Macaca mulatta: one gene and its partners. The protein of the gene in region 2 interacts with the protein of the main gene of each other region in a pairwise test. Links are inferred from orthologs where the notes say so. Each region holds a gene or a part of one and is shown on either strand. Other genes may lie near its edges.

Region 1 (4,144 bases), on a different chromosome or scaffold from region 2:
TCTTCATGCCAATTGGCATATGCCAGACAGACAGTGAGCACTCCAGAAACGTGTACTGCATTACACTACCATAAAACTGAAGATCTCAATGCCATTTTGTTTAGTATTTTAAATACAATTAACCTTTCTGACTTTCCTGGAGTGTATGGAACCTGGGTGTATGTGTTTGTATACAACTTCTGAAAGAGGATTCTAGTTTATCTTTCAGTTAATAATCTCGAGTAATTCTAGATTTTCCTAAGCGTTTTGAGTGCCTTATTTCCACATGCGTTTCATAACTATAAAAGGTAGAATCTGTATTATTCTCATTTTATAGAAGATAGTCTAAAAAGGCTAAGTGACTTGCCTAAGGGAACACAAAGCTGACTCAGCCTGGGACTCCTTTCACTACAAGAAAATGCCTAAGGGCCATAAATTATCTTCTGAATCATGTATTTAAAAAACGTGGTACTGAATTTTAAGAACTCCTTAAATTCAACAGCTATACTCTAATTCAGTTATACTAAAAGGTATGCTCCATAGACTTTCAGTATCAGTATAAACTGTTAAGTCTGTCAGAAATGCAATTATTGGGCCCCACTCCAGACCTACTGAATCAGAATCTCTTCGACAAGGGACAGAAGTCTGTGTTTTACCATGCTCAACAGGAGACTCTTAAGCACAGTAAAATTTGAAAAGCAGGGCATTACCCTATGTTATCAACCTCAGGTAAACTTTCTGCTTATACTCACATCCACTTTTCTATTTCTATTTCTGGTTCAAATCACAGACAATTGGCTAGTCTAAGGATTCTCCAATGTCCTTTAAAGAACACAAATTCCACAAAAGTGATTACTTGTGTATTATATACATTTTTTTTTTTTAAGACAGGGCCTCGCTCTGTCACCCAGGCTGGAGTGCAGTGGCTCCATCCCAGGTCACTGCAGCCTGGACCTCCTGGACTCAAGCGATCTATTCTCTTGCCTCAGCCTCGCAAGCAGCTGGTACTACAGGCATGTGCCATAATGTCTGGCTAATTTTTGTTTTTTTTGTTTTTTTTTTTTTTTTGGTAGGGAAAGGGTTTTGCCATGTTGCCCAGGCATATCTCCTGGGCTCAAGCAATCCCCCCTCCTCAGCTTGCCAAAGTGCTGGGATTACAGGCATGAGTCACTGCAACTGGTTACTTGCAATGCTTCCCTGACCAAGTCCCTATCCAATTTAAACACTTCAAAGGCTACGGATCAATTTTTTCAAAGTTCCCACTACAATCTCAGACAAAAAATTGACAAAAGAAATACACAGGAGTTTCACAATTAAGGAAGGCCCAAAACATGTGAAAAGATACGCAACCTCATAGGTGATCAGAAAATGCAAATTAAAACTGCAACCAGATCCCATTTCATACCTACCAAAATGACAGAAATTCAAAATTCAGGTAACATCATGTATTCATATGAATGTAAGGCAATGAGAACTTTCGTCCACTGCTAGTGGGAACAAAACTGACACTAGCACTTTGGAAAAAAGTTAGCATTACTTACACACACCCTACACTTCAGTAATTCCAATCCTATGTTCACAACCTAAAGAAACCCTTGAACATGTTAACCAGAAGACATGTACAAAGATGTTTTAGCAGTACTGTTTATAATTGCAAGCAATAGGAACAATCCAAATGTCCACCGATTGTAAAATGAAAAAAAAAACTGGGGTATAGTCATACAAGGAAACACCACATAACAGTGAAAAGACTAAAACTACACCTACAAGTATCACCCTGTTTGAAAAACAAAGCTAAATCTAAGACACAGAAAAATGCATACGGTCCACTTTCATGTATATAAAATTTAAAAAGAGGCAAAATTAAGCCACTTCGTGACTACAAGAAGAGGAACAGAATGCAACGCAATTCAGAGTGGTTACTTGTGACAGGAAAAGAGAATATGATCTGAGAAGTGCACGTAAGGGTTTGAGGGGTATGGTAATGCTCTATTTTACTTAACAGTCTGAATGCTAGTTTCTTGCATGGTTTTATTAAACTATATATAAGTTGTATCCTCTGCTATGTACGTTACATAATCATTTAATGAGCAACAACGAAGAAACCTTGAAAACTTTCCCAATGCATCTAAATTGAGAGTTCAATGTTTTTAACACTTCTATGAGCCTGGTTGAACAGATCCCCAGGCTATTTCTGACTTCTCTGTCATTCATACTGAAGAAAACGGGTAAAACCAGACCACAACGCAGGAGTTAACAATTAAAAGGTAGCACAACCTAAAGAGCAAGGGCTGTGTCGTCTAGTATTTTAGCAATCTGACAAACAGGAATTGATAAATCTTTCAAACTGTCTTTACTGACAAACTAGAGCTAAGGACATGTCAGATAGCTCCTTTCCCCATATCTCACCCCATTATCAGGGTCGACTCCTGTATATCAGAACTACCTGCTCCCACCTCACCCTATTCCTCATTCCGTCAATGACTTTCAGTCCCCTGCAGGCTACAGGGTTCCGCGGCGCCCTCGGCATTTTCTTAATAATCTTTTACAGAAGACGTATTCAGCAACGGCTTCGCTTTGGGGACCCTTTAGCAAAAGGAATGAATTAGGAACACGTGGGTGGCACCATATCGGCCAGTCGTTCCTGTGGGCCCAGCCAATAATCTTATCAGCGATTATTGTGGTACTTAAATACACAGTACAGGCTCCAGGTGGTTTTATAAGTCCACAAGCAATGAGAAAAAAAAACATCGCAACTCAACGTCCACAAACCCCAGCCTTCGGTTCCCACATAACATCACCTTGGTTCTCCGGCTTTGTCTTCTGGTTACGAAATTCACTTTTTCCAGCCCCTTTTTCTCGCCGCTCTAAAGAGGGAGACGCCATTTTCAAGCTGCTTCCGGTGACGCCGGAAATGAAACTGTTCTTAAATCCTACCGGCTAAAATGCCTACACTCAAAATGAGTTCCGCGGAACTCAGACGAGGAGATCTGCGCAGTTTTCCGTGCGTACGTGCGTTAAAGCCCGCGCTTTTACACACACCGGAGGTTCTCCTACGTGGCCAATGAAGAGCTGGAGACTTTCTCCCAGTATGCACTGCAACCATGGCGTTTGCGTACTGGGACTTGTAGTTTAGCAGGCGGTATAGGCAAATTGGACACTGTGTTATCCGCAGTTTCCTCGTGGCCTCACGGGCTAACCTGGACCACCGGAGTGCGACCAGCCTGTCATTGATGTCATTCATTCTTTCGATAAAAATTTATATGTTGGCCAAATATGCGCTAGATGTTGGGAGGAAGCACAAATATGAGAATACAATGTATATTGGGCCTCCGCTGTAAGAAGTGACAGGAATAGCTACTATTTATTGTGAGAATGCTTTGTTGCAGTACTTTATTTACATTATTTCTAATTTTAAAAACAATGACCAAATTAAACTTTCCAAAGTTGTTTATGATGGTAATCTTCCCGAGTGTTGGTATTTCTCTTTCTAAGTCAGAGGGATGGTAATTCAACATTCTGACGTTTCAGAAGTATTTCAACTAGCCTAAGATTTCTCAAAATCTCTACTCGTTTTCTACCCCCAACATTGCATAGGGCTAAGGTGTGTAGAGAGGTTCATCACTGACTACAAATAACTACACTTTTAGAAGTATAAAAGTTCTTTGACATGCCAAAGACAAGATTTTTTAAAATTATTGATTTTATTGCTTGCATTTCTAAAATTTTCTGCAGCAAATAGGGAAAGTCTTTGATAGGTTAAATTCCTTGCATTAGTGAAATACACGTTTGTCTGATAAATCCACTCTCGTGTATCTTATACAAAAATTTAGGTTTTCATATATGAGATCCATGTATGAAACAGATTGTTACATATGGACAGAAGAACCCAAACGACAGAGCAAAGGTTTTTTGCTTTTATCCTGTGCGTTTTATAAATGACAGGGATTTTATCTCTGTTCTTTTAATTTCCTCAAAAAAATAATGATAAATCCCTAAAATAGAACAAATAGCAACAGGTTAAAGTTATAAAGTGAAGAGTACACCTCATGAAGCAGGTTTTTATCATCCTTATTTTAAGTAACTCAATCACTAATAAGTGAAAGGCCCGTCTTCAAGTCCAGGCAGTTTGACCTAGCAGCTTCAGGGGGCTACTATTCATTAG
Region 2 (3,108 bases):
TGGATTTGAGGTTTGGGTTTTTCGTTGTGACCTTGAACAAGATATTTTAGTCATATACATATTTAATAATTGGCTCCTCTGTACACCCCCAGCAGCTCAGTGTGGAGCACCCACTGTATACCAGGAGCTGTGTTTCAGGTACTAGAAGAGAGTGATGGGTGAAACATAGGAAACATAGACATGGTCTCTACCCTCCTTGTGTGGGACCTAGGCTGGTAGGAGAGTCAGACTTTAAACAACAGAGCGCCAGGGAGTATGTGCTTTTCATTTGTGACAAATGCCGGGAAGTACAAGTAAGGAGTTGGTGATAAAGTGTAATTTAAACTAAGGTCTCGATGAGTCCAGAGTTCTTCCAGTGAAGGAAGGACAAAAGGAGGGGATTCCAGCTAGAGACAACTGCAAAGAAAGGTCTTGATGTTGAGGGTGAACCTGGGCACCTGTGAAGGAAAGGGTGGCATGAGGTACAGTCAGGGGAAGAGGTGGAGTCCTGTAGGAGAGGGGAAGGACCTGGCCTTGAGTGGTGGTGGGGGGAGGGGCATGAAACTAGATGACTATTAGGTGAACAGGCCGGACAGTGGTCAGATCATACAACAAAACCATAGTGGCCCCTCAGCCTAAAATACTTACCATCTGACTTTTTTTTTTTTTTTTTTTTAAGACAGGGTCTCACTCTCCCCCAGGCTGGAGTGCAGCAGTGCTGTCTCAGCTTATTGCAGTCTCTGCCTTTCAGGCTCAAGCAGTCCTCCCACCTCAGCCTCCCGAGTAGTCGGGACTGCTAGTAGTAGCGCCACCACGCTGGCTAAATTGTGTATTTTTGTGGAGATGGGGTTTCACCATGTTGCTCAGGCTGGTCTTAAACACCGGAGCTGAAGCAGTCCGCCCTGCCTTGGCCTCCCAAGGTGCTGGAATTACAGATGTGAACCACTGTCCCCAGCCCTGTCTCTTTAAAGAAAGTTTGCAGACCTCTGAACTAGCGGGGTGTTGGAATCTTAGAAAGGAGATCTTTCATTGACTGGGCCGCAGGCTTTTCTTAACTTAAACCTCCATTTTCTAGGACCAAGACCCCTGGACCTGGGGCCCAGTCGGCCCTCAGAGCCCTTGCCCGCTCGGGTATGAAGATCGGGCGGATTGGTAGGTGCCCTCCTCTAGCTAATGCTTAGATCTGTTTTGAAGCATCAGCCCCGAAAAGCACATGCTGTGCCCAGTGGATGCGCAGCGGCTGGTCTGGTCGCTTTTGGCAGTTAAGTTTGTTAAGGGAGGCTACAAGTCACCTTCTGACTTAAAAATCTCTCCCTGAATACCTCTGTCACCTTGATGTGAATGTCCTGTTTCATTTGTGAATCTCTGTCCTCCACTGCCTGGTGCCGGTAAAACTGACAAGAGATGAATTGTCCTTTCCTCCGTTCTTGACGGCATTGCAATGAGCATTTTGTGTGTGCCATCTCCTGCATTGTAGGATGTTCAGCATTTTTGGTATCTGCCCACTAAATATCAGTAGGGCATGCCAGCCGTGTGACAACCATAAATGAAGTCGGGGGGTGCCAGCCTCCATTATTAATACTCATGCTTGTGATTTCCTGGCTCCTTACAGCTCCTAGGAAGGGGGCATTAGTTCTTGCCTGCACGTTGTTTCTGTGCAGTTAGTAGAGATGTACGCTGACGCCCCAGGCCAAAGTTCCTACCGTGTCCTACTTGAAGGATAATTTTGTTTTCTTGAGATGGGGTCTGACTCTGTTGTGTGGGCTGGAGTTCATGGCACAATCTCAGCTCACTGTAAATTTTGCTTCTTGGGCAGATCTGTCCAAGGAATCCTCCCACCACCCCACCTCAACCTCCCGAATAGCTGGGACTACAGGTGTGTGCCACCACACCTGGCCTTTTTTTTTTTTTTTTTTTTTTTGGTAGAGGGGTTTCACCATGTTGCCCAGGCTGGCCTCGAACTCCTGGCCTCAGGCGCTCCACCGGCCTCAGTCTCCCGAAGCCCAAAGTGCTGGGATTACAGGCATGAGCCACTGCACCCAACCTTGAAAGATTTTTTCAGACTTTTTTCAGTATCGTTTTACTTAATGCAAAGGAGACAGTTGCAGTTACCCTGTCCAAAGGGTTTTTCCTCTAGAGAAGATGGTGGGCTAAATGTCAGAAGCTGGATTTCTCCTGTGCCTCTGACATCTTGCATACCTCTCAGCCTGTTTCCCTTTCTGGAAAGTGAGTTAAGACCACGTCAGGAAATTCGAGGAACTGGCAGATGGGGCCGCTTCACGTTCACATCCATCTGTTATGTACTGGGGAGTCATTTGGGGAGCAGCAGGATCTGTTGCTGATTGGTTAGGCCATTGGTCTAGGGAGGCCTGGGGGCCCTTCCCATCCAGCTCCAGGCAATGACGCTTTCTCTTCCTCCACACAGAGGACGTCACCCCCATCCCCTCTGACAGCACTCGCAGGAAGGGGGGTCGCCGTGGTCGCCGTCTGTGAACAAGACTCCTCAAAATATTTTCTGTTAATAAATTGCCTTCGTGTAAACTGTTTGAACTCCAGTCTTTTCTCCTTCATCAGGGGCTACTCGGGCATTTGATTTCTTCCTCCTATTTGGCTTCTTGGGAGAAGGAGCCTGAGGAGAGCTGAGATCCTCGTGCTACATTTGGGGTCTTTTCCATGCTACTTGCAGCATTAAGTTGCCTTGGTCATCTAAAGCAGACCAAGGCTTTGGAGACCTCGTTTTGAGTGGAGGTGCTGGTTCTAAAAATGGACCAATTCTTAAAGAGTCAGAGTGGGAACTGTGGATCCAAGTGTAGCCTGAAGCGAAGAGGAGCCTTCCAGACCCATGCCATATATAAACACACGTGGGTGTGCATTCTCCCCCCACACCTTCTGTGCAGAGCTAGGAGCTCACTCTACTGTGTCTTGCTTTTTTTCACTTGGCAGATCTTGGAGATTGTTCCACATCAGTACATAAAGTACATAAAGATTGTCACCCCACAAATACACACCAAGTCCTATTTTCATCAGCGATAAAAAAGAAAAGTTCTTGCTTTCCGGAAACTTGCATGCGGCTCTGAGTACCCAGTGACACCAGATGGTACTCAGTGTTTTGCAAGGGATTACCACAAG
Region 3 (4,094 bases), about 82 Mb from region 2:
GTTCCACTGCACTCCGGCCTGGGTAACAAAGAGATATCTTGACTTTAAAAGAAGAAAAAGGTTGCCGGGCGGTGGCTCAAGCCTGTAATCCCAGCACTTTGGGAGGCCAAGGCGGGCGGATCACGAGGTCAGGAGATCGAGGCCATCCTGGCTAACACGGTGAAACCCCGTCTCTACTAAAAAATACAAAAAACTAGCCGGGCGAGGTGGCGGCGCCTGTAGTCCCAGCTACTCGGGAGGCTGAGGCAGGAGAATGGCGTAAACCCGGGAGGCGGAGCTTGCAGTGAGCTGAGATCCGGCCACCGCACTCCAGCCTGGGCGACAGAGCCAGACTCCGTCTCAAAAAAAAAATAAAAAATAAATAAAAAGAAGAAAAAGGTAAATAAATTATTGTAATTGATTCGAGGTGGCTAATTTTTTTTTTTTTTTTTTGGAGACGGAGTCTCTGTCACCACGCTGGAGTGCTGTGGCGCGTCCTTGGCTCACTGCATCCTCCAACCACCCGGTTCAAGGGATTCTTCTGCCTCAGCCTCCTGAGTAGCCGGGATTACTGGCATGTGCCACCACGCCTGGCTAATTTTTGTATTTTCATAGAGATGGAGTTTCACTATGTCGGCCAGGATGGTCTCGATCTCCTGACCTCATGATCTTCCCGCCTCGGCCTCCCAAAGTGCAGTGATTACAGGCATGAGCCACTGCGCCCAGCACGAGGTGGCTAATTTTATTCTGAGTAGTTCCATGGTAGCAGCAGGCAGTTTGAATTGGCGTCAGAATTTGCTGAGCCCCACCCCTGGAGAATCAATACACTGAGTAATATTCTGACATTCAATTAGCTTTGGAAAATTTTTATTAGATCGTAGTACATGCTGATTTACATATGGCCAGGCATGGTGGCTCACGCCTGTAATCCCAGCACTTTAGGAGGCCTAGGCGGGCAGATGACATGAGATTAGGAGTTTGAGACCAGCCTGGCCAATATGGTGAAACCCTGTCTCTACTAAAAATACAAAAATTAGCTGGGCATGGTGGTAGGCACCTGTAATTCCAGCTACTCAGGAGACTGAGGCAGGAGACTCGCTTGATCCTGGGAGGTGGAGATTGCAGTGAGCCAAGATCGCGCCACTGCACTCCAGCCTGGGTGACAAGAGCGAAATTCCGTCTCAAAAAAAAAATTTTTTTTACATGTTATTGCTAATTAGAAATTTTTCATTTCAGTCGTCAAGATCTTTAAGGGCAGAGGCCAGGTGAGACTCTGCCTCAGAAATAAAAAAAGGAAGGGCACAAGGTGGGCTGCAGTGTGATAAGTAGTATTTCACAAACAGTATTTTTCTGTGGCTTGTCTTACAGGTACACCAGGGGTTGGAAAAACTACACTAGGCAAAGAACTTGCGTCAAAATCGGGACTGAAATACATTAATGTTGGTGATTTAGCTCGAGAAGGTAAGGGACACTTTGGTGTTAGATTTGTTTTGTTTTGTTTTGTTTTAAGTCTGATAGTGGAGTGTTAGTGCTGGGTATTGTCAGAAGGTACAAAAAACAGATTGCCATTAAAGAATATATACTCTTGCCTGTAATCCCAGCACTTTGGGAGGCTGAGACGGGCGGATCACGAGGTCAGGAGATCGAGACCATCCTGGCTAACACAATGAAACCCCGTCTCTACTAAAAATACAAAAAAATTAGCCGGGCGAGGTGGCGGGCGCCTGTAGTCCCAGCTACTCGGGAGGCTGAGGCAGGAGAATGGCGTAAACCCGGGAGGCGGAGCTTGCAGTGAGCCGAGATGGCGCCACTGCACTCCAGCCTGGGTGACAGAGCGAGACTCCGTCTCAAAAAAAAAAAAAAAAAAATATATATATATATATATAGTCTTTTAGGGAATCCACAGAAATATTAAGTGTCTAATGCTATGTCCTGGTTATTTTGAGCATTTTCCCTTCCTCCTTGAAAATGGCTAGCAATTCTTGTGAATAGTTGGGAAGGCTCCTATGAAGAGACTGGATTTCGGAGAGGTAGAATGTGAATAAGGAGAGTGTTTTCAAGTTGAGCAAACAAAGGTTTGGTACTGCTGAACATATATATGAGCACAGTGAGTGTATTGGTCTCACTGGAAAGAGATTGTTTTGAGCTCAGGTGTAGGACATGACTATGCTATGGTATCTTAGTGTGAGGTTTGCATGCAACTGCATATATTCTAAGATGATAGATGTTTTTATTTATTTTACCCTGTTTTCCCCTAATCTTTTATCACTCCCTTATTTGTGTCTTCATCTTTTTATAGTTGACAATGATTTGTACATGGTAGGAACTCAATAAATTAAAGGGATTTTAAGTATGCCTCATTAAAATTAAGAAAACATATGGTTTAAATTTAAAAAATTTTTTTACAGTTTAACATAGATTAAAAAATTTTTTAAGTTCCTGACAGTTGCTACTAAAGTAACTATTTCAGATTGATCTAATGTACATATTTTTTTCAAATGATCTAAAGTCTGATCATCGGATATCATGGAGTCTGGCAAGATGGCTTCTCCCAAGAGCATGCCGAAAGATGCACAGATGATGGCACAAATCCTGAAGGATATGGGGATTACAGAATATGAGCCAAGAGTTATAAATCAGATGTTGGAGTTTGCCTTCCGATATGTGACCACAATTCTAGATGATGCAAAAATTTATTCAAGCCATGCTAAGAAAGCTACCGTTGATGCAGATGATGTGCGATTGGCAATCCAGTGCCGCGCTGACCAGTCTTTTACCTCTCCTCCCCCAAGAGATTTTTTATTAGATATCGCAAGGCAAAGAAATCAAACCCCTTTGCCACTGATCAAGCCATATTCAGGTCCTAGGTTGCCACCTGATAGATACTGCTTAACAGCTCCAAACTATAGGCTGAAATCTTTACAGAAAAAGGCATCAACTTCTGCGGGAAGAATAACAGTCCCGCGGTTAAGTGTTGGTTCAGTTACTAGCAGACCAAGTACTCCCACACTAGGCACACCAACCCCACAGACCATGTCTGTTTCAACTAAAGTAGGGACTCCCATGTCCCTCACAGGTCAAAGGTTTACAGTACAGATGCCTACTTCGCAGTCTCCAGCTGTAAAAGCTTCAATTCCTGCAACCTCAGCAGTTCAGAATGTTCTGATTAATCCATCATTAATTGGGTCCAAAAACATTCTTATTACCACTAATATGGTGTCATCACAAAATGCTGCCAATGAATCATCAAATGCATTGAAAAGAAAACGTGAAGATGATGATGATGACGATGATGATGATGATGACTATGATAATTTGTAATCTAGCTTTGCTGCATGTAACATGTATACTTGGTCTTGAATTCATTGTACTGATATTAAACATGCATGCTGGATGTTTTCAAGTTGTGTTTTAGAAAACTTTAATAATAATTAATGAGTAAATACAGTTACCATACTTTTCAATTGAAATGAAGGTTTTTCATCAGCCTTAAAAGTGTAAGAAAAATAAAGTTGTCATTCATTACTTTGATTGTTGGTGCTTTGGCAGTTATGTTTTTAAAAGCAATTTTCTCCCTGTTGTCACCAAGGGGAGTAACAGTTGACAGTTGCAGCAACTTGCAGTACTGTAGTCTATTGTTGACCACTAGAATGTCACCTCAAGTGTCTTCAGATATATAGATCACAGTATGATCTCTGGTGTATGTCACTCTTGTGATCTGTTCTCTCAGTTGCTGAAGTATAACCATGACTCCTCTTTGGAGAGACTAGTTGGTCAGGATTTTTATTCATAGTGAATTCTTAACCTGCTTTGATTATCTTCCTCAATTGTCCAACTTCCTAGGTCCCATTTTTCTGTCCCTTTGGTTATATTAAGGACCCTTAGTGTCTCCCAGTATGTCTCCACTTTTTTAAAAAAAATTTATCAGTGTCTCTTTTTGCAGGTTAATTTTGAGCATCTTTGTTTTTCATATTCCTGATACTATAAGCCAGTATCATGTTCATTTTTGATCCAGGGCTGATGATTAGGTTATAGTTTATATTTTTTTAATTTTTAAAATTTTTTTGTCCAAAAGAACATCAATTTATCAAGGTTATAGTTTCTGAAACCTAGAT

Evidence for each region.
Region 1: the proteins of RPS14 (region 2) and KRR1 interact in binary tests that used the Homo sapiens proteins (3 or more experiments, as listed by UniProt). The link is inferred for Macaca mulatta from reciprocal best matches to the Homo sapiens genes RPS14 and KRR1.
Region 3: the proteins of RPS14 (region 2) and TAF9 interact in binary tests that used the Homo sapiens proteins (3 or more experiments, as listed by UniProt). The link is inferred for Macaca mulatta from reciprocal best matches to the Homo sapiens genes RPS14 and TAF9.

What each region holds. Positions count from the first base shown.
Region 1 is NC_133416.1:82,682,464-82,686,607, forward strand, and holds the start of KRR1 (KRR1 small subunit processome component homolog), read right to left. Parts: upstream 2,901-4,144; 5' UTR 2,866-2,900; coding exon 2,781-2,865; intron 1-2,780. UniProt on the Homo sapiens protein: Part of the small subunit (SSU) processome, first precursor of the small eukaryotic ribosomal subunit.
Region 2 is NC_133411.1:159,406,352-159,409,459, reverse strand, and holds the end of RPS14 (small ribosomal subunit protein uS11), read left to right. Parts: intron 1-1,054; coding exon 1,055-1,131; intron 1,132-2,404; coding exon 2,405-2,472; 3' UTR 2,473-2,520; downstream 2,521-3,108.
Region 3 is NC_133411.1:77,439,567-77,443,660, reverse strand, and holds TAF9 (transcription initiation factor TFIID subunit 9), read left to right. Parts: upstream 1-1,346; 5' UTR 1,347-1,347; coding exon of another isoform or gene 1,348-1,440; intron 1,441-2,488; 5' UTR 2,489-2,505; coding exon 2,506-3,300; 3' UTR 3,301-3,459; downstream 3,460-4,094. Other genes in the region: AK6 (adenylate kinase isoenzyme 6), read left to right, coding at 1,348-1,440. UniProt on the Homo sapiens protein: The TFIID basal transcription factor complex plays a major role in the initiation of RNA polymerase II (Pol II)-dependent transcription.